2 linked regions of the Solanum lycopersicum genome follow. The protein of the gene in region 1 binds, or shares a complex with, the protein of each later gene. Links are inferred from orthologs where the notes say so. Each region holds a gene or a part of one and is shown in the gene's direction. Other genes may lie near its edges.

The links. The genes of interacting proteins can lie anywhere in the genome.
Region 2: ribonuclease E (region 1) and termination factor RHON1-like protein share a complex: the UniProt entries of both Arabidopsis thaliana proteins name them as parts of the chloroplastic degradosome-like complex. The link is inferred for Solanum lycopersicum from reciprocal best matches to the Arabidopsis thaliana genes RNEE/G and RHON1.

What each region holds. Positions count from the first base shown.
Region 1 is NC_090801.1:62,866,287-62,868,933, forward strand, and holds part of ribonuclease E, read left to right. Parts: coding exon 1-73; intron 74-164; coding exon 165-482; intron 483-614; coding exon 615-656; intron 657-1,288; coding exon 1,289-1,413; intron 1,414-1,543; coding exon 1,544-1,691; intron 1,692-2,647. UniProt on the Arabidopsis thaliana protein: Involved in intercistronic processing of primary transcripts from chloroplast operons. The endonucleolytic activity of the enzyme depends on the number of phosphates at the 5' end, is inhibited by structured RNA, and preferentially cleaves A/U-rich sequences.
Region 2 is NC_090808.1:61,806,821-61,810,941, reverse strand, and holds the start of termination factor RHON1-like protein, read left to right. Parts: upstream 1-1,282; 5' UTR 1,283-1,365; coding exon 1,366-1,426; intron 1,427-3,241; coding exon 3,242-4,121. UniProt on the Arabidopsis thaliana protein: Binds to and supports processing of specific plastid RNAs. Associates via its C-terminal Rho-N domain to single stranded regions of 16S and 23S rRNAs or to rbcL mRNAs. May be involved in targeting transcripts to RNases such as RNE or RNase J.

The sequences.
Region 1 (2,647 bases):
AGTTGTTAAAGAAGGATTGGGTACGAAGGGCCCAACACTGACTGCTTATCCGAAATTAAGGAGCAGATTCTGGGTATTACATGTTTCATGATCATGTATTCTGTGTCTTACAGCTGAAAGTCCATTATTAGAAAACCCAATCTAATTGGTTCTCCTCTTCCCAGGTTTTAGTTCCTCGCGGCAACACGATAGGTATTTCAAAGAAGATTGCTGGTGTTGAGCGCACACGTTTAAGGGTCATTGCAAAAACTTTACAGCCTCAAGGATATGGTCTTACAGTAAGGACAGTTGCAGCTGGTCATTCACTAAATGAATTGCAGAAGGACTTGGAAGGGTTGCTTTCAACTTGGAAAAGTATAATTGAGCATGCAAAGTCTGCAGCTCTTGCCGCAGATGAAGGTGTTGATGGAGCAGTTCCTGTCATGCTTCACCAGGCAATGGGCCAAACACTTTCTGTTGTTCAAGATTATTTTAGCGATAAGGTCTGCTCATTCTCGGGTCATTACTTCATAATTTGTTCAGTTCTTTATTTTTTAGGCAACTTCTGTTCATGGGCTTTCTCAAATTAGCATGAAAACACAATTTTACTTTCTTACTCTAGCACTGATTTTCAGGTGAATAGTTTGGTGGTTGATTCTCCAAGGACATATCATGAGGTATGGACTTAGCCAGTTATCAGTCAATGGAATGAAAAGATTTTTGACCTACAAGCATGATTGCATGTCTTTCTCTTGCTTTAATGTTCCTCTAGGTTGATTTTTCACATGGAAGCGGTTTTACAATAGTGAGTGGTTTTTGGTATGAAGATTTGCATATACTGGCTATGAATGAGATTATCTTGGATTAAATTAAACCCAAGTTAATGAAACATTTAAGAAGTAAAATTAGCTTGTTTAAGAATAGCGCCCAGTGTGTGCAATGATGAGTAGCACTGCAATTAGTATCTCAGTACATTACGTTCTTATGAATAGAACTGATGACATTGATTTTCGTCTTTAAACTATAAGGGCATTTGTGCTTTAAGTTACAAATATTTTCCTTTTTGACTTTAAGTGTCCTGATTCCTTTCGCTTCACACAGTTCAGCATATAGTCGCGGCATAGTGTTCCACAACTTTTGTCGTCTTGTTGTGTCCTCTTTTATTCCAACTCTGCAAAAGTTATTTTGGAGATCTGTCATACACCAAATAGTCGCGGTTTGTGTTCCACTACCTGTGGGCTAAAATTGGTTGAGGAATTTTTTTAAAATTATGGTGTACCTTAATATAGATATATTGGACTCTGTTCAGGTTACAAACTATCTTCAAGAAATGGCACCTAATCTTTGTGAAAGAGTTGAGTTGCATGGTACAAGAACTCCCCTGTTTGATGAATACAACATTGAGGAAGAAATAAACAACATTCTCAGCAAAAGGTGGAGATCACTTTGTTTCTTTCTTTTAGCTTTATGTCTTTTATGACATGTATTTTAACTTCTCGTGAGTCAAAACGTTTCATGTTTCATTGATATTCCTCCTTAATCCTTTGATTTATAAAATTTGCAGGGTTCCCCTTGATAATGGAGGTTATTTAGTGATCGAACAGACAGAGGCTTTAGTCTCCATCGATGTAAATGGTGGACATTGTGTGCTTGGTCAAGGGACTTCACAAGAGATGGCTATTCTCAATGTTAACCTTGCAGCTGCTAGACAGGTATGTAGACCTGCATCTATTTTGATTACACATTGTATTCCAAGAGCATAGTCTTTCTACACCTGGGAAAGTTGGTTATCAGAAAACAAACTAGGATATGCTTAGAAGATCCTTTTTAATGAATTAGAAGATGCTTAGCGTTTGATGGAAATACTTCAATCCAACACTAAAATATGTCTCTTGACAAGCTACACTGCTTCTCTTTTTTCCTGTGGTAGACAAGGCCTCATTTGTAGCCTAGTAGTATCTTGTCAGATCCCAGAACAGAAGAATATTCTGTTGATGCACCTTCTATGGAGAATTAATTCTTTAAAAAAAAGAAACTACACAGGGTATCATGTCCATGTTGCCGTTTTAATCTGCTATTGGTTTGGACATAGCATGTCTGAATTACGTGCTAAACCTCTATTTTTTTTTCTTGGAGGGGATAACCAAGACATCCCTGAGCGTATGTGGATAATGTGCCCGCTCTCTACCTTTCTTCAGTTAAATACCACGCTTTTGTCATAGGAAGGTTCGATCTCTTCACGTGTCTAACCCACACATCACACATTGTGCTCTTACCACTAGACAAAACCAACGGGGATAATCTGTGGTTGCTTTTATGCACCTCTATTTAAGTCGCGTTAATTTGATCCAATTTAGCAGTCAGCCTGGGCTGCAGAATTACACACATTTTTAAAGAAGGAAGGAAGCAGAAACCAATCCAAATAAGCAAGTATCCATCATTCGAATTCAAAGAAATACTGCACTTCTAGTTTCATTGGGTGTTTCTGGTTAGATTTGAACCTTTTATCTGAGAAACCGAGCTAGTTACTGAAATGTACGACAACACAGGATTACATTGGATCTTTTTTGTTGATAAAGACAACATAGTATTGCATTGGTTTTCTTTCTATATGTTAAGTTTATTATTTGCGACAGATTCCCATTTTTTATTTTATCTGATAATTGTT
Region 2 (4,121 bases), on another chromosome or scaffold:
TTGGGACAACCTGTAAAGATTTTCAATGATTCACTTTTATTCAGGCTGAAGCCAATTGACAAAGAGAGGAATTTTCAGAAAATTATTTTGAGGGATTTCTTTTCATTTGTCTGAACCATCACTAAAGTCGCAATAAAGAGTAGATATGAATCCATAACCTTGAAAATATAATAGGTACAACGATAAGAACAATAACACTTGAACACATTTAGGGTGTGTTTGATACAAAGAAAAATATTTTTCTAAAATATGTTAACTTGAAAAATAATTTTATTTCTAACTTACTTTTTTATGTTTGGCTGATAGTTGAAAATATTTTCGAGAATATTTTTAGTGTTCGGCTGGTGAATGAAAAAAAAAATTTGAAAATATCTTTTTATTTTTGGCTAGCGAGTAGAAAATATTTTTAGGAAAATAGTTTACGACTCAAAAATCAATCTCGATGATCAATCCTGATTTGAAATGTGATCGTGAGATCTGACCTAGGACCTGTCTCAAGCTTTTTGATCTGAGATATGACATTTGAATTGGGATTCAACCGTGACACTCAAACTTAGATACAATCAATATTACAGTAGAATTGGAAAATATTTTACTTATTTTTTAAAAAAGAGTCATTTTCCTTAAATTTGAGGAAATAACTTGATTTGCAAAACGTTTTTCAAAACATTTCTTGAAGAAAGTAGCCCTTTTCAAATTTCGGCTAGGGCATTTCTTTCCTCAGCGATTCAATAGCTTTTGTAGTTTTGCCGACCCCTTCAATGAAAGCAAATTTTAGCTCCCTGGTCTTTCACATCAACTTCTACAAGTTCAACGATTTCTGGTTCACCAAGTCACAAATTGTATTGCATATGATATGAAACTCAAATTTAAGTATTTTAAAGACAATAATAGCTAGTGTTAGGAGTTAAAAAGGATGGTAATTTCACATATAATTACGTAATTAATTATTTTTCAATCATAAAAATTACTACTACATTTTGAGATACCAACTAAAAAATCACAAATTTGAAAAACGCTAAAACTTTCCAATGTTCACTCTTTTTTCCAAAAGAAATCTAATAAATAATAAGCCAATTAAAAAGCTGTGTTTCGATCCGATCAAATCCAAAATACATAAAAAAAAAAAATTGTAAGAAATGAAAACTATGAGGGGGTAAAGTGATAGATTTCAAAACCAAAACGGACCGCAATTAACTAGATTTTGAAATTTCATACTTTGCCTTTCTGACCCCAGAAAAATGGTGAATATATAAAACTTCCCCTTATCAGTGTGCAAGATATATAAAAACGTAACAAGAAGCTTAGTAGAAAGGCGAAAATCGAAAATGCGAAAGTTTGATTGAGACTGCAAAACTATTTCTTATGTTTTCTCAAATTCCAAAAATGTCAAGCGCCATTGATTTCACTCTCAAAAATCTTCCAGGTAATTTTTTTGTTCTGTTTATGTTCAATATGCAAGAGCTCCACGTTGGGTTGGGCATGAACATGCACACTAACTGTTTGAGTTAATTTCTCAAAGAGACAAAACATTAATGAAGTCTTTTCTTTTGATTGAGTGGATACAAGAATGCTTCGTTTTATCACTTTTGGTGTCCTACGGGGTGTCTACAAGGTGTTTGATGAAATGTTTCTGTTAAAAAAGAGGTCACTTTATTTAGTTTGGATCTTATTAACGGCCTAGCTATGTCGGAACACTATCTAATAAAGAGAATAACTACTGCAAACTACTCCTCTTTTCCATGTTAGGTGAATTGTTACGAATTTGTTCATAATCCAAAATAAGTGAATCCTTCAAAGTTTAAGGGAGTTGTTGAGACTACTTGATATTTTCTAAGAAAGAATAGTTTGGAAATAATCATAAGGGTAATAGTGATAACTAGTCTTTTATTTCATACATAACTAGTTGAGGTCGGCTACTTCAATTCTTTATATCCATTTTGCTCTGGTTGGATGCTTTCATTATGATGCTTAGTAGTTTGTCATTTAACAAAGAATTGAATGATGTTTATTATTGATGCTATTGATAAATAAATACATAAGCTAGAATTCCTTGAGTAATTCAGTGTCAAGATGGTTTATTTTTGGCTGCATTTGATTCGGCTAAAGTGGTGGAACTGTTTTAGAACAGTTTGAGCAGGTGGTTTCATTTGCAATGTTCTTGGAATAGTTTAAATGTGAAGGTTTTTCTAGGTGCTGTGGGGTTTTGAGGTGGCAAATATGCAGGATTATTGGTGTGTATGGCAACCTATTGGCTTTTCTTGGAGTAAAGTTTTTCTTTTTTTCAAACTCTCCAATTTCCTATTTAGTGGAACTTATATTTTGTTCCGATTCTTTTTAGTTTCCAGACCTTTCCAATTTACTTTAAGTTTCAGTAGTTCACACATCAGCTTGGTCACACGTAAGCATAAACTAAGAAAATCTCATAGATTCCCTGGTCATGCCAAGAACTCTTCCAGCCTCTTTTTCTTTCCGTGAGGTGCTAGCAGTGTCACCGATCTTGTCTTGTTCACAATGTATTTCCATAAGCCCCATTTTTCGTTGCTTTTATTCTATTTCTAGAACTCTTTGCCCCTCTCATTTTAGTGTATGATATGTGCATCGTTGGTATTGATTGACATGGTGACGTCAGGGTTATTTTCATTGCAATAGTCGTTTCTGTTATTTTTAATACTACTAATTCTTGTAGTGACAACAGTTATATCATTTTTAAAATGCAAATGCTTCTTATAGAAGCAGAATTAATGACTTTTTAACTTCTTATTTGTAGATAGCTTTAGGACATATGATACATAAAATGTTAGGCATAGGAGGGAATCTTATATAACATTGTACAGCTATCCCAAAGAGTGTTCTTGAATCGGTAAATGGAAATGCTTACTTGGAAGAAGATCTAAATAAAGTAACTTTTCTGAGATTATGCATCTTATCCCTATACAGTTGTGATCCTATTCTTTAGTCAACCTTTCACATGGAGCTCAACATATTTTTAAGCTTCAGCTGCAATGTAAGTGCATCAGTCGTGACCAACATGTTGATCATTCCGTTGACAAAGAAACAGCTATTTAGTAACATTCTCTTATGCATAAGTTCTTTTTTTTTCTTTTTGTATCTGTAAAATCGAATTTAAACACTTACATATGTGCTATTTAGAAACATTCTCTTATGCATAAGTTAATTTCTTTTTGTATCTGTAAAATCGAATTTAAACACTTACATATATGCTATTATACTATTTCAGGGTTTAAATCCCCAGAAGGCAGATGTCTTCCCTGCTCAGGACTGTCTGGAAGGACAGTCACTTCTCGTGGTGAATATCAGCAATTTTCCAAGGTCAAGATTTTAAACTTGAAATCTCCTTACAAAAGCACATCTTATATGTGTAGTGCTAGTAGCTTCAGCAATCATAAAAGAAATCCAGATTTTTCGAGGCAAAACAAGCATGGTTTCTCCAGGGGGCGGAACAGGCAAAATGAAGACAGAGATGGTTATGAAAATATAGAAGAATCAGAAATGATATCTTCAAGAAATGGGCCACTGCTTACTACATCAAACACTTCGAAATTCCAAGCTACAGCCACTCCAGGTCCAAGGGAAAAGGAGATTGTTGAGCTATTTAGAAAGGTCCAGGCTCAGCTTCGGGAAAAAGCTGCTATCAAGGAGGAGAAAAAGTCTGAAGAGTTGCAAGGAAAGGGTAAAGAGAGTGAAACTGTTGATTCCCTTCTCAAGCTTTTAAGGAAACACTCAGTTCAGAAAGGGAAGAAAACCAGTAGCAGTAGAAGTAGCAACTTTGTCCTTGACCAGCCAGATAAGAGCAATGTATTCTCTGAAGAGAGAGCTAGCAATCTCACTGAACTAAATAGCAATGTGAACCATGTGGCACAAGAAAGTGGCACCCCATTTGTTAACCGACCTAAGTCAAACTTCCAGCGTAGATCTCCAGTTCCGCGAATCAAATTTCAGCCTATTTATCACGAGGGAGGTACTGATAACCCTGTTGCCTCTTCTGCTACAGATAAGATGGAAAATGACATACATCTGGACCTTGAACTTGGGCAAATTCCCAGAAGTAAGGTTGATTCTGACACTGAGACTATTTTCTCAGATAAGCATGTGTTCGA